Linked DNA regions of Callithrix jacchus. The protein of the gene in region 6 interacts with the protein of the main gene of each other region in a pairwise test. Links are inferred from orthologs where the notes say so. Each region holds a gene or a part of one and is shown on either strand. Other genes may lie near its edges.

Region 1 (4,139 bases), on a different chromosome or scaffold from region 6:
GTGGTCAGGCTGTTGACGATGTGGTTATTCTGCAGCTGCTGAATGGTGCTGGTGTAAATTACCTCTCCCTCTCACCCCTAAATTCCCATCCCCTAACCCCCACCCCAAGCCTTTCTCAGACCCCAACTCAAGCTCAGCACAGTGCATCCAAGACACCCAGAGGGAATTCAGCCTCAATTCCCAGCTCTGCCTCTAATGAGCAGTGTGACTCTAGGCTGCCACCTCACCTTCTTGGGACTCAGTTTCCTCATCTGTGAAATGAGGGCCAGTTCAGTCTGTGACTCCTCATAATATGTGGTTTATGTGACATAATCTACTGTGAAGTGAAAGAGCCTGGTAGAGCCAGGGTAGAAGAAATAGAAATGAGGAAATTAACTAACCGGGTTTTCCCACTTTCACTCTCTGACAAGGACAAATAATCATTGCTGATACTGATTCAAATTCAAAGGACTTTCCCATAAAATATCAAGTGCAGCAAACCTCCAGTTTTTCAAGATCCAATAAAGGAAAAGCTAGCTAACACAAAACCATTCTTAAGAGAAAGATAAGCAACAAGCCCACACCTGCTATTTATTCTGAACACCAATTGCTAAAGGGTGAGAGAATCAGCTGTTTTCCACGCTACCATAGATTTGGCCTGATTCTCACACCTTCACAGTGTTAATACAACTGTCTTTTGGATAACTCTGATGCCTAAACAAATAAAAATTTTAAAAGGCCTAAGATACAGCCTAAATCATAAAAAGAGTAAGCCGGGCACAGTGGCTCCACCTGTAATCCCAACACTTCGGGAGGTGGAGGTGGGTGGATTGCTTGAGCTCAGGAGTTTGAGACCAGCTTGGGTAACATGGCAAAACCCTGTCTCTACACAAAATATAAAAATTAGCCAGGTGTGGTGGCCTGCACCTATAGTCCCAGCTACTTGGGAGACAGAAGTGGGAGGATTGCTTGAGCTGCAGAGTTTGAGGCTGCAGTGAGCTGAGATCATACACTGCACTGCAGCCTGGGTGACAGAACGAGACCCTGTCTCAAAAATATTAGGTCTGTGCAAAAATATTGCAGTTTTTATGGCAAAAAAAAAAGTTACTGTTTTTCTTGGCCATAAAAACTGCAATTTACAGCCGGGCACAGTGGCTCACGCCTGTAATCCCAACACTTTGGGAGACTGAGGCAGGCGGATCACAAAGTCTGGAATTCAAGACCAGCTGGCCCCATCTCTACTAAAAATACAAAAATTAGCCAGGCATGGTGGCACGTGCCTGTAATCCCAGCTACTTGGGAGGCTGAGGCAGGAGAATTGCTTGAACCTGGACCTGGGACGCGGAGGCTGCAGTGAGTCAAGATCACACCATTGCATTCCAGACTGAGCTAAAAAGCGCAAGTCTCCGTCTCAAAAACGAACAAACAAAAACAAAACAATAATGAAAAAACGCACTTTTGCACCGACCTAATAAAATAAAAAATAACAAAGTATTGTAGTACCGACAGTGTAACTATACATTAACAACACAGTCTGAATTCTAATTCCTTTAAAACAGCCAGCTCTGTGGTCCAACTTTACTTTCTTATTCAAACTTTATCTTATGCATCTACCAGCACAAGGGCTGTTTTTGGACCATGAAACAAATTACTAGAGATGACAGAAATTTGGCAAGTTTTGCAAGTATATACTATTCTTCAGAAATTTGAGTTTACTGTACACACAGATTTAGTATACCTAGAAAATTCCACTCATGCCAAATCTATGCCCCTGTATACTTTACACTTATTTATTCACTATTTAACAATAATGGTACCCAAGTCGTTGTTTCTATTAAAACAGCAATCAAACAAAAGCCTCTTTCAGCAATGAGGAGCACCTGTCTGAAAAGGGGAGGTTCCATGCTTGCTGCTTCTCTAAGCGTCCAGGGAAGCGAGAGACAACTCAGAAAATCTACAAACTGTGGCTCCTCCCGGGGCCCGCGTGACCCCCGAGTCCAGCAGTGGGCAGGGGCGCCCTTGGTTGAGCCCACTGGGCACCATGTCTAGGTCTGAGGCCCAGGGAGGCTGCGCTGCACGTGCCTCCGCGCGCGCCCCGACCCCACGTGGGGGCGCCCCTGGGTGCCGGCACGCAGGGAACGCGCTGCAGGGGTGCTGAGCCGGCTGCCACCGCTTCCCAGGACTTCCCTCTTGGAAGATCTCCGGGCGAAGGACGGGGCTGTGCTCCTGCTAGGAGTCTAGAAACTCCAGGCCAGCCCGGATCGTCTCCCGGCCTGCACTCCACGCGGGTGGAAGCACGAGCCGCGAGTCCTCGCCAGATCCCAGAACTTCCCCAAAAGTCTCCTGAGCCCGGGCTAGACCCTCCCCCTCGGAACTCACCCCGCTATCCCCTGCAAGTCCCCGGGCCCCGGGGACCGCCACTCACCCAGCCAGCGGCTCCAGACTCCAGACACCGGACACCGGACACCGGACACTCCGCGGCCGCGCTAGGCGCCCAGCCCCGCACCTGAGCCCGCCCCGCGCGCCGTGGAGGGGTGGAGGCGGGGTGAGTCTTCCGCCCGCCCGCTCTGGGCCGTGCACCTCCCAGGTACCCCTGCAAGCCCGGAGGAAATTCCCTTCCCCCAACTCCCACCCCATGCACTCTCTCCCCAAAGCCTCTCACCACCCCCAGCACCTACCAGTGCTGGGCGCGCCTGGGCTAGGTGGCCCGATCGCCCGCCACATCCACTTGATTGCCAGAAGCCGTCGGCAAAGGGAGGGAGGGAAAGGCCGAGCCGCCCCGAGCGACGCAGGCGGGCTGGGCAAACACTCAGGCCAAGACGCCAAACAGCTCCGGCAGCCGGCCCGCCCGCGCCGCCCTGCCGCGCCCACAGGCTAGGGTGACTGAGAGCGCGATCGCGGCCCCACCCGGGTGCCTGGAGGCTCTCCAGGGCCACTTGTCCGTGAGGCTGCGTGGCCTGCGCATCTTGGGCCGCTTGGCCCTCGCGCTGTCCTCCAACTGCGGTAGTCCTCTCCTCTCTTACTTCAGGAGACTGGGATCTGCAGTCTGTGACCTCTTGGAGACTGCGGGACATAGATTAAATCAGCAGGCCTGGCCCTTTCCCCGTTTCAGAGTTCTGAGTTCCTTGCGAGGTGGAGGGTAGGAGGGTGCCCTGGCCCCACTTGTTAACTGTGCTTGAGTGCTTCAGGCCAAGCCGGCTCTAGAGCTTACTTTTTTTTTCTTTTGTTGACATTAGGTAAATGATCAAACTCTCTGGCACTTGTGGTTCAGGTGCGGCTTTGTAGGGCAAGATGAAGGAGAAAGGCGGGAAAGGAGACCGCAGTCAACATAGGGGGAGAAAATGGAAGAAAACTGGAGGGAAAGTCAAGATGTTGATAGGAGCCTTGTGGATTGCAGCAAGAACAGAGGTTGGGTGGTGCCTGAAGACATCAGGGAGGAGCTGGCAGTCCACAGTTAGAGGAAATCTTGGAGGAAAATCCAGCAGAAGCAGAGTGGAAAGGCATTTCCACTGGAGGGCATTTTCCATCCTTGAGGAGCATGTGGAAGAACACCGTCTGTTTTGGGGAACCCCAGATTTCGTGTGTTGGGGACTTAGTGTCATGTAATAAACAGTAATCACCAGTTGTCCTCTCTACAGCCTACCTGACCTCTTCAGGAGCCTGACCTGCTGGGTTCAAACACAAAATGTCATTCCCCATCTCTCCCAACTGCAGAAGATATGGCTGAGTTACATCAAGCATCAGGGCAGGCAGCATTGTCAGTAAAGGACCCCCAGCTATGTGGGAACCATTCCAGGGAGCCCATTAGGGAGGAATTTCTGGTCTAAGGCTTAGTCCCGCTGCGGATTAAATGATAACCTATGGGGTGCTTTAGGCTGAAGTGGGATTGGCCCCTGGAAAGCTGCTATGGCCAGATCCAAATGAATCCTACCCCTGCATGGCTGGATCAGTTGAAGAACTATACAGGGTGGTTTATCATTTAGTAAAAATCCCACAGGACACTGTGACGGTCAGTTACCTTCCTCACATCCAGTCTCTCTTCAACTCCTGACCAGTCCTTTCTTATAATAGCTCTGGCACTGTGCTATTAATCTCTGTACCTCAGTTTCCTCCTCTGGATAAAGAGTGCCTGCCTCCTTACATTGTTAAGAGGGTTAAAT
Region 2 (4,051 bases), on a different chromosome or scaffold from region 6:
CCCTAGCCATCTGATCAGCGTCTCTGCCCCTCCGTCCGAGCAAGGCTGGTGTTAGGTACTCTGCCCCAAATCCCAGGTTCTCTTCCCTCACAAGGGGCAAGTTTGCCCAAGAGGACAGTAGCTCTGGGCACTAGCAGCAGGGGTTGGTGCTGGCAGCAGAGCTAAGGGCCCCTGGACACATGGGGGCCCAGGAATACGCTTTTGCTCTCTCTGAGAATTCAGCTTTTCTTGTTCAGCCCTCACCATGATCACCTCAAAAGGCTGAAAATCTGAAGTATATGGTGGAGCCCAGCCCATCCCAAGGTGTGGAGGGGAGGGACTGGCAGCGGGTGTCCTGGAGGAGGAGCCTGGGCTGGACCGAGCCTTTTCTGTGGGGTGCCACCCTTTTCCCTCTATCTCCGCCACACCCCTCGGACCTCTTGTTGTTTCCCTCAGGACTCCGGTTATCACCTCGACGCTGAGGCCTTCTCTGGTGTGTTCCCTAGGCTAAGGTTGCAAAGTCCTGAATCTCGGGAGGCGAAATACTCGTGGCCTCTTACCCCATTCGGTCAGCAAGGCGTCGTTCTTTCCCACAAGTCTTTGTTGTTGTTTTGAGACAAGGTCTCGCTCCATTGCCCAGGCTGGAGTGCAGTAGTGTCATCTGGGCTCAGTGCAGCCTCCACCTCCTGGGCTCAAGCGATCCTCCCGCCTAAGCCTCCCGGGACTACAGGTGTGCGCCATAGCGCCCGGCTAATTTCTCACTTTTTGGTAGGGACAAGGCCTCCCTGTGTTGCCCAGGTTGGTCTCCTGGGCTCAAGCGACCCACCGGCCTCAGCCTCCTCCCAAAGTGCTGGGATCACAGACGTGAGCCACCTCGCTGGGCCTTTCCCTTAAGTCTTAAGGAACCCCTCTCCACTGGCGCCTCCTTGGTGGGGCGCTGGAGGCTCCCCAAGTTCCGACCGCTCCTCTCCGACCTCAGTGTCCCGGGCTGAAACACCCCCAAAACTGCCACTCATTCCGCCGGCGTCCATCCGGTTGCCAACGATGACTCGTTTTTTTTCCACCACAGTCCCAGGAGCCTTTGAGCGCTCGCCGTCTCACCCAAGGCCCGAGGAGGTCGCAGCCGCAGAAGGATCGCCTGGCCGCCCGCAGCGGACCCCGGCAGCCGCATCCCCTGATCGTCCCTCCTCAGGCACCGCCCCTGATGTCCCTCCCCAGACCCCGCCCCCGATGTCCCTCCCCCCCAGTCCCCGCCCCCGGCTCCCACGGGGCACTGCGGCTTCCGGCTACAGGTAATGCGGGCCGGAAGTGTAGCGTTGCCATGGCGAGGGCCGGGCGCGGGGCCCGCCCCCGCAGCACCTTTGGGAGCGCGGGGCCCACTGACCCGCGGAAGCCAGCGGACCCACTTGCGCGGCGGCCGGTGCGGGGCGCGAGGTGAGGCGCGGAGTCCCGGGTCCTGTGACGAGAGCGGAGCGAGGGAGAGGGTCCCCGGCTGGGCACAGCGGAAGAATGGGCACTGGGTCGACATCGAGAGAGGGGGCCGGGCCGGGGAAGGATGAGGCTCAGGGGAGGGAGGGAGGAGGAAGCCCAGGGGAGAGAGGAGGCTGCGGAGGGAGGAGGCCAGGGAGGGGCCCTCGGGAGACGCGGCTGCCGTCACGCGGGCGCCCAGGGCACAGGTCCCACCTGGCCGCCTTGGGCGTTGCTGGCTGAGTCCCACGGCAGCAGGTGCCAAGGGACAGGAAAGGCTGGGAGCTGGAGGCTGCTTCGCATTTTGTTCCAAGGTAAAGGTGTGTGGATTCTCCGCAGCCTGCCGGTCAAGTAGACAACTCCGGAATTATCTACATTTTCAGATCAGGAAATCAAGGCCACAGAGAAGGGACTTACCCAAGCTTTGTGGGGGCTTTGGAGCTAGGCTGAAGGAGAAAGTGGAGTCTCTCTGAAGGAAGTTCCTTCAGCTTTCGGGGATTAAAGTGACCTCACTTGCAGTGCTGGGCACCCGGGCCACCCCTCAGGAAATGGGATCAGGGCAAGAATTAACTAAGCAAGCACCCCGCCTGGGAAGGAGTGTCCAGGACTGGTGTGGGCCCCTGTCTGTATCAGAGCGGAGGCCCCGGGCACGACGGGATTAATTTCCATGGGTGCAGAGACGGGTGTGTACAGAGTCACTCTAGGCTTAGGGGAGCCAGAGCAAAGCTGGCCCTCCCCAAAGCTCTGTGCCTTCCTTTTCATCCTGTATCCCTACTTGGGGGTGGAAGTGGAGGCGGGGGTACCGCTGCCTTTTTCAAAGCGTGTCTAGCTCAGCAGTGAGCCCTCCTGGGCGTCTTGGTGCCCCAGTTGCTTCCTGGTCATATTGGGCTTTCCCTGGGAAAAGGGTCTTGCCTGCAGTACCCTGGGCCTCCTGAAGAGGCCTTTGGCAGCGCTGCCTGATTCACCTCGGGGATCCAGAGCCACGACTGTCCCAGAGGAGCTCAGGCGGCGTGGGGCTGGGTTGCCTGAGGAGCTGGGGGCTGCCTAGTAGACCTGCACACCGGCTGACTCCATGCGTGTCCCTGTGGTGGACCTTCAGAGCTCTGCAGGGCTAGCTGCCTGCCCCTGCCCCAAGTCTCCCAGCCTTGAGATGGGATGGTGGAGGCCTTAGGGGTCCTTTCCCCTCCTGGTGTTTGAGCTGGATTTCCTCCCTGTTGGTTGGGACCATCCCTCCTGTCTCTTGATTGCCCTGTCCTGGCCTTATCCCTCACCTGCTTGGGATGTATCTGCACTCCATTTTGCCCCGAGGGTTGCCTGGGTTAGCAAGTACCTAGCAAGGGGGCTCCTCCTGTATGTCTTCACTTTGGGGGTCTATGTCCTGGGGGTTCTTGAACCTCTGGTCTAAATAAGCAGCCAATTGATACAACTCTCCACTGCCTGTAGCTTAGGAACCTCAGTCTCAGCTGATCCCACAGATTACACCAGACCCCCAGCTCCACCCTTGTTCTGCCCCCAGTGTGTCCTGCCCTAGCACTGTGCCACATCTATTCGTTCGCAAAAATGAAAACTGGGTGGCAGTTCCAGGTTCTTCTCTCTCTCATGCCGAGGCTCTGCTGGCACTGGTGCACGCACACCTAAGTGAGGCCTTTTCATCAGACTTGCTCAGCTATGAGCTCAGAGCCTCCCATGTCACATCTGGTGCTGGGACCCCTGGACCACAGGCTCAGCAGCTGTTCACCTGTTCAGCCCATTGCAGTTACTGAGTGTGAGTGCTTCCTGTGAGTCAGGTTCTGAGGATGCAGCAGGTAAACAAACAGTAAGTGACGTGTCAAGAATTAAAACAGGGCAATGAGGTAAGAGAATAACAAGGTAACCACAGAAGAACTCTGAGGAGGTCACACTTCAGATGTTATCTAAGTCCCAAGAAGGAACACGCTATCCTAAGATCTGGTGGAAGAACTTTCCAGACAGAAGGAGCAGCTGATGAAGGTGGGGGTGATGATGAAGCTGGTAGCACCAAATAAATGTGTTAGATCAGGGGTTGGCCAGCTTCTTCTGTCAAGGGCTAGGTAGTAAACATCTTAGGCTTTGCTAACCATGTGCTTTCTGACTTTTTGTTTGTTTGAGATTGAGGCTCATTCTGTTGCCCGGACTGGAGTGTAGTGCGCGATCTCCGCTCACTGTAACCTCTGTCTCCTGGGTTCAAATGATTCTCCTGCCTCGGCCTCCCCAGTAACTGGGATTATAGGTGCATGCCACCATGCCAGCTAATTTTTTATCTGTTTTCTATTTTTTGAGACAGAGTCTCGCTCTGTCACCAGGCTGGAGTGCAGTGTCACAATCTCAGGCCATTTCAACCTCTGTCTCCCAGGTTCAAGCGATTCTTCTGCCTTAGCCTCCCTAGTAGCTGGGACGACAGGCGTGTGTCACCACGCCCAGCTAATTTTTGTACTTTTAGTAGAGATGGGGTTTCACCATGTTGGCCAGGGCGGTCTTGAACTCCTGGCCTTGTGATCCACCCTCCTCGGCCTCCCAAAGTGCTGGGATTACAGGTGTGAGCCACCTCACCCGACCTCCTTTTTCTTTTTGATATGGAGTCTCCCTC
Region 3 (4,291 bases), on a different chromosome or scaffold from region 6:
TTTGACTTTTACAGTCCCTGTCACTGTTCGCTCTTGCAAAGAGCAGTTCTCCAGACAGACAAAGTTCTTCTGAAAGTGGTTCCGGAAACTTAGGTAATCAGTTGAAGGCTGAGGGAAATCTAAAATCAAGTTTTTCTCCTCATGGAGTTTTAAGCCAGAGGAGATATCATTAAGGTCCAAGAGATCAAACTGGAGATCCCATGCTGGTTCTTCTGGGATGTCAGAGAAGACATGGATCGCGGTGAGAGAGAGGCCCTTGGAGTCAGCAAACACAACGCGCTTCTTGGCTTGGTTGTGCGAGCACTTCCAGTCGTTCTGTGATTTGGCTTCCTGTTTTATGTTGAGACATGGTTTCAGAGGCTTTAATTTATTCACAAAATGTCTTTGTTGAAAGTCATTGTAAGGGCCCAGGAAACTCTTCACGGGCGGTGAATGAGCCAAGCAAAGCCTCATAGCCACATCCACTGGCATGACTGAACTTGTCAAAGGACGTGGATCTAAAACCTGGATCATTCTGGAATGCAAAGGGAAGGGGGATTATCACCTGGATCGGAAGTGCTCTTCCCCAGTGCCAAATGCATATGTACTATTTTTGTGCTGAATGACAGCCAGTGCACTAGTATCAGGCAGGTGCTGTCATATGTAGTAAAAGAGAACAGTATTAAGTGATCAGATCTTCTTTCTATGGTTACCTTTACCTTTGGCTGGCTAAAGGCTGACTAAGTGTTAATTGCTTAAAACACTTAGAGGGGAATGGGGTCTCAGTTTCCCCATCTGAGAAATAAAAGTGTTCTATTTGATGATCTCCAAGGCAGTCTTAAGAATCATGTGCTCTGTTCTGGAGCACATGATTGTGTGGTCCTCAAACCTGTCTGGTCACCATGCCTAGGGAAGTTCCCTCCTCCTTCCCTCCCTCCCTCCCTCCCTCCCTCTTTCCCTCCTTCCCTCCTTCCTTCCTTCCTTTTCCTGGGACTTCATGCCTCAGGGAATCCCTTCCTCCCTTCCTTCCCTCCCTCCTTCCTTTTCCTGGGACTTCATGCCTAGGGAATTCCTTCCTTTCCTTCCTTCTTTCTATCCTTATCCTGGGACTTAGAACCACTGAAGCAGAACTTCTGGGGCTAGGGCCAAGGGATGCACATGTTCTTAAAGCTTCCCAGGTGATTCTAATAACCAGACAAGTTCAGGAGCCACAGTTCCAGACCCTCTGCTCCCTCTGGATGCTTTGGTTTATTTTGCTGCTAAATTGATTGACACTTCTCTGGTAATTCACTTGAAAAAAATAAAATTAACATGCAACAGTTTTGACAGTGAGAAGGCTAGAGAAGCCGAAGAATTCTCTTTGCATTTTATCATGCTCTTCCTCATTTTTCACAAATAACCACTGAAATACAAGTCAACAATTCATGCACTTAAAAACTGTGTGTAATTGATAGTTCACCTAAAGAGATGCCCATGACAATTCCACATTTAAGTGGAAAAACTGATTACCTGAAAGTTGGAGTGTTTTAAGATATACAATATATATATATGAACTTGTAAATATTGAAAAACTCTATAGGAAATATGTCTTTCCTAATAATATAATAATTATTATCTCTGGGTGATAGGATTATAGATGATCTATTTTCATTTTTGTTCTTTTTTGGTATTTTCTAATAGGCATTTATAAGTAGAAAGACAATAAAGCTATTTAAACTTTTAAAGATGAACATGCTCAACAATATTAAACCAAGAAGCATTCATAAAGAAGACTTTTTTTCTGGCCTTTAGTCCTCATTAGATATTTCCAAGCTTATGGCATTAGGATTTTCCCCCCATCTTAGCCTTACACGTAAGAGGTGTGTGTATACTGTACATGACATTTCTCAATCTGGCTTTAGTAACTCTCCTCACAGCAGCTCTAAACATGTATGCAAGTGGTCATTATCACAAAAATGAGTAATAAAGAACACTCACAGAATTTACTGTATTAGCTCTGGGGTTTTTTTGGGAGACTTGCAAACTTAGAACAAACAAATGAAAGCTAAAGCTATATTTGTGGGTCTAATAATAGTTAATAGGCAGGATTTTTAGAGAAGTCTTCTGCTAAGCTATGTCTGGAGAAGCTATTTAAAGTATTTTATGGGAGGTTTTTTTTTCTCTTTGACTTTTTGCATTTATAGAAGGACAGTTTTAGTATTGGGTGATTTCCCTGGAACTTTAAGTCCTGGACAAGAGTTAAAAATAATTGCTCAAACTCTTGAGATTTTGCTATGGCAAACTGTGATAAGAAGGATGAATGACTACAAACATCGTCCTGTAAATTTTTTCCTCCAAGCTAAACCACCTAACCAGCAATGTCAGAGTGCTGTTCTCGCCACTTTAGCTGCCCGAGTCTTTGGCACATTTGTGCAGGACCAAAAGAACAGCCGCATCCCTGAGAAAATCCGAACCCAAGCTGATTCACGTTAAGGTCATTTCTGCTTTAATTTGCTTATTTCTAAAATAGGCTCTTCTTAAGAAATAGAGCCAAGTTTCTATACCTCCAAGGCCTCTCTGTTGCCAGATTCAACTAAGCAGTCAGCCCACTTGTCCTCCCCTGGGGTGTCCCTTTCCAGAGATGACAGAACTGAAACGCCCTTCAACTTCCCCACAACTGCGCGTCCCCTTGTGTTCCCGGCGCGCAGAGTTGCAGCGAACCTACCTGGTGCAGCTCATTAGGCAGAGAGGCGCAGCGGACCGTGAAAGCCAGCACCCACTGCCTGCACAAATTTCAACCCCAGCTACCTGCCTTGCCCCGCGGCGATCGCTGGGACGGAATGAAGGCCGGGCGCTGAGACGGCACTTATCCGCTCCGAAGCACGTGACCCGATCCCTGGGACCAATCGCCGGGCCTCGGACCCCGTGGCGCGACCAACCAGCGCCCAGCTAGGGCACGGGCCCTCGGCCCGGGAACGTGATCGCCCCCGGGCCGGACGTGCAGAGCGCGAGCTGGGCGTCCCGGGAAGGTTCGGGGACTCCCGGGCCAGCTGGACCCAACCGCGGAACGGGAACCCTGGGCCAGGGGCCGGACAGGCACGTACCGCATGCAGCGGGCGCGGGCCAGGAGAGAGCGCAGCCAGCTCGCCCAGGAGGGGCGCCAGTGCCTCAGGCTTGGGGCGGCTGTTACTCGCGAATGGCTTTGTAGGTCAGTGCAGTTGAATCTACACACAGAAGATGTGGCTCAGTCCGAATGTGTATGTATCGCATTTGAAATGTTTATGTTGTTCATTGCCCGCTGTATCCGCGTTTCTCCCTCACCTTAGCCTGAGCGACCCCAAACTGGTTGCATGCTTTTGGTTAGGATGAGTTCACAGATGCACCCCACAGTAGACAGCTGCCAAGAATTACCAACTTATCTAACAAATGTCGTTAGGAAAGCATACGAGCCCCAGAAAACACAGAGGTGGAATTAATTAAAAGACACTTTGTATTTCTGTCTATTCTATTTTCTCCCCTGAGAGGGACACTAAAGCCGAAAGTGAAATGACCCTTTTCACCCATAGAGCCTGTCAGAGGCAGCAGTCAACCCAAACCCCTCACTCAATTCTGAGGTCCTCTGGGAGTGGCATGGAAATCAAAATGTTAAAATACAATTTTAAAAAGCACGCTGTATGTTTCATGAGTCCTCTGAGTCAGTCACTTTCGCTAAGGTTTCATTATTTTGCTCAGTTTGGGGATTTTTTTTAGATCATCATCTACAACCGTAAAATTAAATGTCTATCTAAGTCAAGTCTAAATTATTCCCATGTCCTAGTTCTGCTTTACTGAGATATCCATTAGTCAATTAAAATATACAAAAATTCCTATGTCTTTTAAACAACTGTCAAACAGTGGAATTGTTAAAGTGGAGTTATTAGAGTGAAGAAAAAAAAGATCACACTGAATATCATTGGGAAAGGCACTTCATGCCTGGGTTTTATTTGTGAAATGTCTAACTCATGGCAGGTCTTCAAGCCCCCTTAGCTCAACCAAAACTAGCTGGAAGGTCTTTGGATTGACACTAGCTACATAAATGTAGGCAAGTTCTAACCTCAATTTCTTCATGTGGTGCCAATGAACAGACTCAGCATAATACCCAGCTCTTGTGTTCAACCCTGGCTAGCTCCCAAGTTTCTACTTGATCTCTCAGATAGAGGTTTTACTCTATCACCTCAAGACACCTGGTGCCTGAGCTAAAATATTGAAAATAGCTGCTGCTTGTTGAGCCTTTACTCTGTGTTAAACACTGTGTGCTATCGATTCAGTTCTCACAACCCTATGTGTTATGCCA
Region 4 (3,500 bases), on a different chromosome or scaffold from region 6:
TGGTTTGTATCCTGTCCAAGCTCTCAAGGGCCCAGGACAGACATAGCATGCTGTAATACTTCCCGAAGCCAAACAGAGGGGCATCTGGGAACATGGGGCAGGGGCAGACGTGCTCAGAAACACCTGCCGGAGCCACTAAGCAAGGCCAAGGGAAGCACAGGCTCTGTGCCATGACCCCTATTAGGAGCTGGGCATGGGGCTCCAATGCTCTTCTAGCTGACAGAAGTCCTCCTCCCTGCCCATGGGAACCCTCCCTCCTCTCTGCCTGGCAGATCCATCCCCAGTGGCAGTCCTTCTGGGACACCCTCCCAGGTTCCCCTCCAGCACATGACGGTGGCGATGAGTCAGCTGATGAAGGCTCACTCCTGCTTCTGTGGAACAGCAGATCACCTTTCAAAAGTCTCTTATTTCCATTGTGTCCCAGGTTTTCAAGGTCAAATGGATCCTGGAGAACAGACCTAACCCTGTTGGGGACTGTGTCCCAGGAGTATGAAGCTGCGTAGGGAGAAAGGCCCACTTCAGCACTGCCTTCGGGAGTGTGTCACCATCAAGACACTTTCTAAAGCCCCTGGTGTGTATGTCAGTTCACTTCAAGTGACCACTCTGCTGGGCTTGGGAAGCTTTCATCCCAAAGAAGCACTGCAGAGGTCACCATGAGTGGGGTCAAGAGCAAGGCGTTCAGTAGGTTGGTTCATCGCCGGCAGAATGTAACTGGGAATGGTGTGATTTAGGATCATGATTTGGATGAAGAGCAACTGAAATCTATGTGCAGAAGAAAGGCTAGACCACTCAGTTAGGGCTTACTAATACTGACTTCCAGTTAGCATTTCTTTAAAAATGATAATTTCCCTGTTCATGAAAAAATCACAGCGGAAGACAAATGAAGCTCAGCATGCACTCTACATACACCCACTGAGCCCCTACATAGCCCGTTAGCTGCCTCTCCCACACCTACCCGGATGCGGTTAGATCCCAGCTCTAGCATCTGTAGTTGATGTAAGTTGCTTAAGTTCTCAATTTTGCTGATTTTATTGTTGACCAAGAAGAGTTTTTTCAGTTGTGTTAACTTGTCAACCCCTTCGATGTTTCTCAGCAGATTAAAAGAAATATCTAGAATCCTGAGAACAAGCAAAACAGTTAAAAAAAATTTACATAAGTGGCCAGGCACAGTGGCTCACACCTGTAATCGCAGCACTTTGGGATGCTGAGGCAGGTGGATTACCTGAGGTCTGGAGTTCAAGACCAGCCTGGCCAACACAGAGAAACCCCATCTCTACTAAAAATACAAAATTAGCTAGGAGTGGTGGCACATTCCTGTAATCCAAGCTACCTGGGAGGCTGAGGCAGGAGAACTGCTTGAACCAGGTAGGCAGAGGTTGTGGTGAGCCGAGATTGTGCCATTATACTCCAGCCTGGGCAACAAGAGCAAAACCTTGTCTCAAAAAAAAAAAAAAAAAAATTACAAGAGCATAGGTTGCATAGAACTCACACCACCTTAGAAGTGGCATCCCCATCAGGTGACTGCAGTCACTGCGGGGGTGGGGGTCTGACTGTGCCCCTGCTAGTGTCTGGCCCACACTGATGCTATCATGAGAGATTTGGAGGCTGCCCAGGAGCCCAGAGCAAGCCAGTGGCAGCCTACAGGCTCCTGATGCCCTGGCTCCCAGCATGGTATCTGAAGCAGAAACTGTGTTTCATTCACATTTGTGCCCGTGACGAGACCTCCAGCACCAGGCTCTGCACACACAAGGGACCTGATATGTACTGAATTAGAAACAAAACAAACAAAAATAATGAGCAACAAAGGCGCAGAAATCCAGGTAAAGTTATAACTAGGATCTGGCTCCTTTTTTAATTTTAATTTTTGTAGACGGGGTCTTGTTATGTTGCCCAGGCTATGTCAAACTTCTGGGTTCAAGTGATCCTCCCAATGTGGCCTCCCAAAGTGCTGCAATTACAGGTGTGCACCACTGCACCTGGCTGAGGACCTGACTCCTTATATTAGAAATGTCACTTTTCTTAATTAAAAAAAAAAATTCAAAAGGTAACAGGAAATTTTGGATTAACGTTCTCCTCTACCAATCTCAGTATCATCCCTGAATGGAGGCTTTCCAGAAGTCCCACTGCAGCCTTCCCACCGGAGATGTACTTTGCAAGTCAGGATTGTCCAAGAAGGTGAAGACATGCATGAAGCTGACTCGGCCTCCTGGATCCCTGAATATGGCAGGCAAAGGCCTGGGATTCGCATGCAGGGCAGGACCCTGTGGCAGAGGCAGCCTCTCAAGGGCCAAGAGCCAGCAGGGGGTTGGCTCTGGAGAGACTGGACACCCCCCATCCAGTGGCCTCCCCACCACCTTCTCCTATGGGTCTCATGACTCACTCCAGCTCTGTTAGCGCCTCCAGATTCTCAATCTTCTTGATCTGGTTGTCGTAAAGATCCAGCTCTCGAAGACTCTGTAGCTCCTCCAGATTCTCAATGCATTTAATTAAATTTTGGCGGAGGCAGAGAGTCTGGGGGATGGGAAAAGGACAATTGACACAGGCAAGGGGGAGGCCATGAGAAGGCCTCAGCTGGTGCTGGAGGACACAGGACAGGCCTTTCTGGTGGAAGGATGTGTCTTTATTCTTCTGCTGTTTCCGAGAAAGGCGCTGACCTTTGGGAGGCAGGTGGGCAAGGGCACTAGGCTAGAATTCCTCCACACACCCTAAGGATGAGCAGGAACCCAAAGGGAGGCAGGAGGCAGAGGCAGGCCCCACACCAAGAGGCCTAGTTAGGGAGGGAGGCATTGGCCTGGGGCGTGGATATGTACCACTCTTGGCAGAGCCTTAAAGTCCTTAGTGGGCTTGATTTTGAGAAACAAATTCAAATGAGATGCACTGAGGGCCGTAAGATTCGGTGAGGGCTTAACTGAACACAGGCGCAGAAATGAGGCAGGCCAGAGTCAGGATTCCCTGGCCGCCAGAGCTCAGCAGTGATTACCCCAGGGCCAGGCCTCAAGTCCCTTGACTGCTGTCTCACACCCACTATGCTTCCAGTAGAGAAAGACTTCCACAAGGTGGAGCCAGCCCCACCTCCCACAGGCTGGGACAAGGACCACAACTTAGGACTAATTGCTCAGTTCGGGACTCATCCACATCCCATAGGTGAGTGTCACAGTTCCCTTGTGACAGCTCCCGAGTGTCACAGTTCCCTTGTGACAGCTCCCGAGTGTCACAGTTCCCTTGTGACAGCTCCCGAGTGTCACAGTTCCCTTGTGACAGCTCCCGAGTGTCACAGTTCCCTTGTGACAGCTCCCGTGTCACAGTTCCCTGGTGACAGTCCTGAGTGTCACAGTTCCCTGGTGACAGTTCCTGAGTGTCACAGTTCCCTGGTGACAGTTCCCGAGTATCACAGTTCCCTTGTGACAGTCCTGAGTGTCACAGTTCCCTGGTGACAGTCCTGAGTGTCACAGTTCCCTTGTGACAGTTCCTGAGTGTCACAGTTCCCTTGTGACAGTCCT
Region 5 (3,983 bases), on a different chromosome or scaffold from region 6:
CTCTGATGTGAACTTGACTTTTAGATAAAAGATGTTCACTGGGCACCAAGAACAAACCTCCTGTTCACTTCCATAGTGCCCCGAAGAAATCCTTCTTTGGGAGGCTGAGGCAGGAAGATTGCTTGTGTCCAGAACTGCAAAACCAACTTGGCCAACATAGAGAGACCCTGTCTCTGTATTTTAAAGAAATTGGCCAAGTGCAGTGGGCCACATGCCTGCAGGCCCAGCACTTTGGGAGGCCAAGGTGGGCAGATCACTTGAGGCCAGGAGTTCAAGACCAATCTGGCCAACATGGCAAACCCCACCCCCTGCCTACTAAAAATACAAAAATTAGCTGGGCATGGTGGTGTGTGCCTGTCATCCCAGCTACTCCGTAGGCTAAGGTGGGGGGATTGCTTGAACCCAGGAGGCAGAGGTTGCAGTGAGCTGAGATCGAGCCACTCTACTCCAGCCTAGGTGACAGAGCCAGACCCTGTCTCAAAAATAACAAATAACGATAATTTTAAATAAATCTTTTTAAAAAGAAATCTTTCTTTGCAACAGTAACAATTAAAATAGTTTCCATACTTTCCAATTCATCAAATCAATCTTTCAAACTACAACTAGAAATCAGTCATTCCTACCTCTCTAACCTATTCATTGGTAGAGGATCAATATCTGTGTTTAAGAGAGAAACTTCTAAGTTTTATAGCCTGGGAATGCAGGTGAAAACTGACTGTTAACTGTCAAAATGACCAACTCAACAAATGCTTTTGGAGAAAACAACGCAACCCTCTATAAAAGCTTTTAAATCCCAGTGAAATTAAAGGTCAGCTGACACTTTCTGGCTACATGTCTTGTGGTCTTTTTTCAAGGGTTTCTGGCTGAACATTTCCCAATGGTATATGAAATAGTTAAGATCCAGAGCACAGAAGACATTAGGTTAGCACCGTATACACAGGCTACCAGCATATGTGTATTTTACTACTAGATCTAATTTTTTTTCCGGCCTATAAGGACTCCTATAATCACCAAAACAAACAAAATTTTTTAAAACCTAGAATATGTGAGACCAGCAAGAGGGACTGGCCCAAGCAATATTTTCTAGAAAAATGTATTTGCAAAGTTTAGGTAATACAAGTTTCTTTCTTAAATTAGTCCAAAATAATAAGCTACATCTCACAAGGAGAAAGCCTCTCCACTCAACTGGAATCCAACCTTTTGCTTGCTAAAGGTCAAGAAACCAAAATCTCTTGGTTTTGGGTTTTTTTGTTTTTTTTTTTTATGATCAGGGCTGCCATCTGTAGCTGGGTTGGAGGAAGGAAGGGTTGCTGCTGTGTTATGATAAACCTGAATAATAATGACCTGCCCTGTTTCCCCTTTTACAAGATACTGTGGTTGATTCTCAAATACTATAAATTTGATGGACCCATGTCTTTGTGATCACCAGGATCATGAACTTAGAGAGCACTCAAATGAAAACCCTCCATTTAAGCTAGGTATTTAAAGAAAGCCGTGCACCCACCACCCCCACTCCCCATTCACTAACACAAGGTTAGGATTTGGCTTTCCATGCCTAAACTACCATCGTGTGGAAGACAGGAGATCTTTGTGGGAACTGGAACATGATGCTGCATTAACTCTCAAGGATATGCAGTCATTTATCACACCGGCACAACCAACATCCTGGCTTTGGAGATTTACAAAACAGCCAGGAAAGAAAAAATTGGAACTATGGATTTACCCTGAACTGAAAACTGCAGGACAAGGGGACAGTGTTGTCTTTTGGGGATAACTTCTAGCATTTCATATTGAAGAACAGTTCGTGTGTCACACTGCCACTCTCAACCCCTTTAAAAGGATGAATCAAGACCGCAGCACTAAAAGGGACGGGTGGCAGTTGGCTGCATGTTTGGGCCTATGAAAAAAGATCAAGCTAGCAACCAGGGGAAGCGATGCTTTCCTTTTCCTACACGACGCCAGAAATATGGGAAACATCAGGAACCGGAGAGAAGGGACATGTCAAGTCACCAGTTCCCTTTAATGAACACGCCTGCGGAACCCTTCAGCTCTCGGCCCACTTTCCTCTGATTCCCGCTAACCTTTCCGCTCATTCCAATCCTCTGCAGCCCCTACCCAGCCTTCCTCATCCCTTCCTGCCTGCTACTCACAAATTCCCAACCACTCCTCCCACATTTTCCTCTGTTCCCCCTCCCCTTCCTTCACTTTCCTCCATCCTACATCATTCTCCACTCCATTCCGAACTCAATCCTCATCCGCAATCCTGCAGGCTTCCAAGCCGCCCATCGGTCTCCCTCGAGCTGCCCCCGCAGTCCGGGCCCGCGTCCTGGGTGCCCCTCGCTCCCACGCCTCTTCCCGACGCCGTTCCTTCCCAACGGCACCCGACCTCCCTGCCCCCCGACCGCTCCCGTCCGAGCCTCTCATTTCTGACCCCTCCATCCGCACGGCTCTGGGCTTGACCACTCCTCCACGGCCGCCCGAGGGCCGATCCCGAGAAAGGACGAGGCGGCACCCTCCGCCCCGCACCCCTAGGCCCATTACCGGCCCCGCCGCAGCTGCCTCCTCCGGTGATGGTCTCTGCCGCCCCCGCTGCCGCCGCCGCCCTACCCCGGGTGGGAAGAAGGGAGGAGCGAGCGAGTCCCGGGCCCCGCGGCGACGGCCCGGGATCTCCCTGGGCGGCAGGGCGCAGAGGGAAGGCGGTGGGCAGCCCGGCCGGCAGGCAGAGAGGGCCGGGCGGCTCCGGCAACTCTGGCGCCCCCAGCAGCAGACGCCCAGAACCGCCCGGGCTCCGGCTAACAATAGGCTCCGGCCGCAGCGCTCTGTCTCTTATAGGCGCCGGCACGTCCTGCCCTAGCCCCGGGGCGGGCTGGGAAATGGAGTCTACGTGCCGGCCCCACGCCCAGCGGCATGTCGGGAGTTGTAGGCGGTGACTGCTGCAAAGCCTAAGCCGGCGGGCAAACCTGCTCCGGAGGCGGTGGCCCTGCTGCAACCTTTTAATGGGGGAAGAGAGGAGCTTCTCAACTACACATCTTAGATAACTAAACGAATTCTTCTCCAAAGCTCCTCCAATTTTCCTTTCGCCGGACCATATACTCCTTGCTCATGGGGTCTTAGTCTTCAGCAATATGACTTATTGCAGCCTACCCAAGTTATAAAGAACACAAGCAATATCTTGAGTTATATACTTGTATGAGGGACTGCTTTGAGTGTTTTCTTTAAAAAATTTTTTTGCCATGATCTTCTCAACTTTGCAAACTATTCTATTTATTTATTTAAATAGAAAAGGGGTTTTCACCAGGTTGCCCAGGCTGATCTTGCACTTCTGGGCTCAAGCTAGCCGCCTGCCTGGGCCTCCCAAAGTGCTAGGATTATACACATGACTCCCCGCGCCCATCCGCAACCCGAGACGGAGTCTCGCTCTTACGCCCAGGCTGTAGTGCAGTGGGGCGATCTTGGCTCACTGCAACCTCCGCCTCCCAGGTTCAAGCAATTCTGCCTCAGCCTCCCGAATAGCTGGGATTACTGGAGCCTGCCACCACGCCTGGCTAATTTTTGTATTTTTAGTAGAGACAGGGTTTCACACTGTTGGTCAGGCTGGTCTCGAACTCCTGACCTCATGACCCACTCGCCTCGGCCTCCCAATGTGCTGGGATTACAGGCGTGAACCACTACGCCCGGCCAGAATCCATTTTTAAGAAAGATCACTTCAATGATCTCCTGATCCAGGGCTGAGACCTCAGGAACTTACTTGTCTCTCTTTTCTCTCTCCTGCAGCTTGATGGAGATACCTCTCACTGGGCCTCTTTGAATCCGATTCATCAGATGTGTGACATAGGCTGCTCTCTTGTTGCGGAGCTTCTTGCTAGAGATAATGGCGACCTCGCACACGCGCTTGTTCGTGTGGAAGCCGTTGCCCATGCGCGTGTAGTACTTTTCTATGATGACCCGGGCCGTCTTCTTCAAGGTTTTGGTGCAAATGCGGC
Region 6 (3,500 bases):
ATATACTTAATTAAATATGCTTTTCTAAGTAATTCAACATTATGTGTGCATGATACAATATGCTACAATGTGAGCCACTGTACAAAGCAATCGAAATTCAAAAACAAGTCATAATCCCTTCCTTAGACAGTATGCTATCTAGTAGTGGAGGACATAAAAGACAACCAAAAACCCTACTGTATAAATGCTTTTATAATGAAAAATTTAAACATACACAAAAGTAGATCAAGATTTCAATTAACTCCCATTAACTGATCACCCTGATTCAATACTTACCAGGATTTTGCTACACTTGTTTCATTTATCTTCCCCCTCCCCTTTTCTTTCTGCTGATATGATTTTAAAGCAAATCCCAGGCATGTTATTTTACCTCTACACACTTGAGTATGCATTCCTGGAAAAATACAGACATTCTTCTTAAATAACAATAACGTTTATGACACAGCTAAAATAACTGATACCAGCTGGGCACAGTGGCTCATGCTGGAAATCTCAGCTACTTGGGAGGCAGAGACTGTAGTGAGCCGAGATTGTGCCACTGCACTCCAGCCTGGGTGACAAAGTGAGACTCCATCTCAAAAAAAAAAAAATCCAAATAATGTCTACAAAGCTTCTAAGAAGCACTGCAATTTTTGTTAGGGTTGCTGTATACTAGAAAAATACATTCTTTTTTTTTTTTTTTTTGAGACTGAGTCTTGCTCTTTTACCCAGGCTGGAGTGCAGTGGCATAAATATGGCTCACTGCAGTCTTCACCTCCTAGGCTCAAGCAATCCTCCTACCTCAGCCCCTCATGTAGCTGGGACCACAGGTATGCACCACCACACCCAGCTAAATTTTTGACTTTTTGTAGAGATGGGATCTCATTTTGTTGCCCAGGCTGTCTCAAATTCCTGTGCTTAAGTAATCCGCCCACCTCAGCCTGCTGAAGTGCTGGGATTATAGATGTGAGCCACCATGCCCAGCCCCAAATGTTTTGAAATGTTTCCTCTTTTAGGGTGATAAAAGGTTAACAAATCATTAGATTGTTAAGTGTGAGATCCAGGAAGTGGCTCTGCTGCCTCTCCTACTGCTTTCCTTGTACAAGTCACTTAGCTTTCTTGGATACATTTCCTCAAAAAACAAAATAAGAGGGCTTATGTGAAGTTAACAAATAATAAGTGTTTAAGAGTACAGGTATGGTGGCACAAGCCTATGCTCCCAGCTACTTGGGAGGCCGAGGCACGAGAATTGCTTGAATCTGGGAGGTAGAGGTTGCAGTGAGCAGAGATCACGCCACTGTATTCCAGCCTGGGCAACAGAACGAGACTCTGTCTCTAAAAAAAAGAAAAAAGAAATTGAGAGCATCATATTTCATACCTGATGAGCTCGACAAATCAAATCTAAATCATGACGATTCAGAAATTTACTGACTACATCAGCTCCAAAAGTAAAGGAAACACCACGATCATTTTCTCCCCAGCCTTGCACATCCTTATCTGGATCAGACCACAGCAAATCACAGAGCAAACCTTTAAAGGACAGAAATACAGCAATTAAGAAAAAAATTTATAGATTCATAGAACATAGCAAATCTACATCACATTTCAGTTCCTCTCCTGCCCTCTTACCTTTTACTAAACAATGACAATCACTTGCCCAAATATTCCAGCCTATGTAACTTAACACTTTTGGGAAAGCAACCATACAGATATAATCTTCCATGGCCTCTTAAGGTAGAACTTTCCAACCCTTTCCACGTATAGGAAATATGTGTATGGCACACTTACAACAACAATATATGGAAAAGGCTGTTCATCTTTTGTGTACAGTTTCTCCATATGAATAACGAATGAACCCAGCGGTTATTTCCTCAATAGTTCATCCTTTCTTTATAGTTCCACTGTTTCTGAGCACCACAGTCTATTCCGTTAGTCTATTTTATTTATCCCTGAGCCAATAACAGACTAGAGCTTTTAACAAGTCTTTATATTTGGTAGGGGTAGTATCCTTTTTTTTTTTTTTTTTTTAAATTCAGGATTGTCTTGATTACTTTTTGATCCTTTATTCTTCCATATAAACGCTAAAAACGATTTGCTTAATTCCATAAAAAATTCAATTGTGATTTCAATGGAATTGTATTCGACATATAGATCACTTGAGGAAAAAAAAACATTTTCTACTAAGGCCCTGAGGATTTTTTTTTTTTTTTTAGTGTGGAGGAATAAAATCCGATCAGATCCTTGACTTTAGTAATGTTTGCGGCCCTGAAAAAGAGGTCAGAGTTAAAAATATTTATCTGGGTATTGTCATCATATTAATGGTAGCAGGTATCTTAAGAAGGGACCCAGACCACCTTGGGAATACAAAGTGAGAATACCAGTAAATTAATTTTGAGGAATTCAAACATTTAATAGGCAGGCAGATGAGGGAGAATGAGCATAAATATTAGGGAGAATGAGCATAAATATTGGGAAGGAATGATCCAGACAAAGAGATGAGTACAGTAAAGGTTATCCTTAAAGGGGACAGAACCGCCTAAAAGCAGGAAATGTGCCATGAACAAGTAGACAGGACAAAGACCAAAAATGTGCCACTTACAATTATATCATCAGACTTTAATGAAAGCAGTTTCTTGGTAATTGAGTGTAAGAGAGTAGGTAAAAGTCCAATTGCAGTGATATTAAAAGTAGGGTGAATGTTGAGATGGTGATAGTAAGTGATTTTCTAAAAATTACAGTGGCTAAGAAAAGATATTTTTTAAAGAGTAAGTCAGTTTTAAGAATTTTAAAGAATCCATAAAAATCATAGTATGGTTTAGGAGGAAAGGGCATCTTCATTTTCAGTTACATCATATCCTGATAGAGGAATTATAAAACCATTTGCAGAATTAGTGGCAATGTACTCTTAATTTCTATTGCTGATATGTCCCAAGCTCCCCCTACGATGTTCTAAGAAATTCACTAGCACACAAAATCCACTGGAATCAGTCAATCGCAATTTGTATGCCCCTTCTGATTGATGCTGACTCTTCAAAAATACACACCCACCCAGTGCTTAATAATGCTCTCACACTTTCCAGCCTGTTTCCAGAGATGAACCACTGAGTAGAAAGCTAAGGTATTAAGAATCTATAATTGGCCAGGGGCAGTGGCTCATGCCTGTAATCCCAGTACTTCGGGAGGCTGATGTGGGCAGATCACGAGGTCAGGAGTTCGAGACCAGCCTGGCTAATATAGTGAAACCCCATCTCTACTAAAAATACAAAAAAAAACTAGCCAGGCATGGTGGCATGTGCCTGTAGGCCCAGCTACTCAGGAGGCTGAGGCATGAAAATCGCTTGAACCCAGGAGGCGGAGGTTGCAGTGAGCCGAGATTGTGCCACTGCACTCCAGCCTGGGCAACAGAGGGAGGCTCCATCTCAAAAACAATAACAACAAAAAAAAACCAAAAACAACGACAAAAAACCCCCATAATTTCAGTGACAATAAAACTGTATAAAATTAGGTTTAGGAAACAGAAT

What was found.
Region 1: the proteins of PPP1CB (region 6) and SH2D4A interact in binary tests that used the Homo sapiens proteins (3 or more experiments, as listed by UniProt). The two-hybrid records come from large-scale screens. The link is inferred for Callithrix jacchus from reciprocal best matches to the Homo sapiens genes PPP1CB and SH2D4A.
Region 2: the proteins of PPP1CB (region 6) and PPP1R16A interact in binary tests that used the Homo sapiens proteins (3 or more experiments, as listed by UniProt). The two-hybrid records come from large-scale screens. The link is inferred for Callithrix jacchus from reciprocal best matches to the Homo sapiens genes PPP1CB and PPP1R16A.
Region 3: the proteins of PPP1CB (region 6) and PPP1R3C interact in binary tests that used the Homo sapiens proteins (3 or more experiments, as listed by UniProt). The two-hybrid records come from large-scale screens. The link is inferred for Callithrix jacchus from reciprocal best matches to the Homo sapiens genes PPP1CB and PPP1R3C.
Region 4: the proteins of PPP1CB (region 6) and PPP1R7 interact in binary tests that used the Homo sapiens proteins (3 or more experiments, as listed by UniProt). The link is inferred for Callithrix jacchus from reciprocal best matches to the Homo sapiens genes PPP1CB and PPP1R7.
Region 5: the proteins of PPP1CB (region 6) and CSRNP2 interact in binary tests that used the Homo sapiens proteins (3 or more experiments, as listed by UniProt). The two-hybrid records come from large-scale screens. The link is inferred for Callithrix jacchus from reciprocal best matches to the Homo sapiens genes PPP1CB and CSRNP2.

What each region holds. Positions count from the first base shown.
Region 1 is NC_133514.1:22,193,852-22,197,990, forward strand, and holds the start of SH2D4A (SH2 domain-containing protein 4A), read right to left. Parts: upstream 2,801-4,139; 5' UTR 2,658-2,800; intron 2,499-2,657; exon of another isoform or gene 2,405-2,498; intron 1-2,404. UniProt on the Homo sapiens protein: Inhibits estrogen-induced cell proliferation by competing with PLCG for binding to ESR1, blocking the effect of estrogen on PLCG and repressing estrogen-induced proliferation. May play a role in T-cell development and function.
Region 2 is NC_133517.1:53,155,588-53,159,638, reverse strand, and holds the start of PPP1R16A (protein phosphatase 1 regulatory subunit 16A), read left to right. Parts: upstream 1-1,251; 5' UTR 1,252-1,413; intron 1,414-4,051. UniProt on the Homo sapiens protein: Inhibits protein phosphatase 1 activity toward phosphorylase, myosin light chain and myosin substrates.
Region 3 is NC_133513.1:84,419,308-84,423,598, forward strand, and holds the start of PPP1R3C (protein phosphatase 1 regulatory subunit 3C), read right to left. Parts: upstream 2,801-4,291; 5' UTR 2,698-2,800; coding exon 2,684-2,697; intron 515-2,683; coding exon 1-514. Other genes in the region: uncharacterized protein LOC144578709, read left to right, coding at 3,066-3,215.
Region 4 is NC_133507.1:162,440,723-162,444,222, reverse strand, and holds part of PPP1R7 (protein phosphatase 1 regulatory subunit 7), read right to left. Parts: intron 2,512-3,500; coding exon 2,381-2,511; intron 1,119-2,380; coding exon 956-1,118; intron 1-955. UniProt on the Homo sapiens protein: Regulatory subunit of protein phosphatase 1.
Region 5 is NC_133510.1:68,357,963-68,361,945, reverse strand, and holds the start of CSRNP2 (cysteine/serine-rich nuclear protein 2), read right to left. Parts: upstream 2,801-3,983; 5' UTR 2,432-2,800; intron 1-2,431. UniProt on the Homo sapiens protein: Binds to the consensus sequence 5'-AGAGTG-3' and has transcriptional activator activity. May play a role in apoptosis.
Region 6 is NC_133515.1:86,258,310-86,261,809, forward strand, and holds part of PPP1CB (serine/threonine-protein phosphatase PP1-beta catalytic subunit), read right to left. Parts: intron 1,510-3,500; coding exon 1,358-1,509; intron 1-1,357. UniProt on the Homo sapiens protein: Protein phosphatase that associates with over 200 regulatory proteins to form highly specific holoenzymes which dephosphorylate hundreds of biological targets.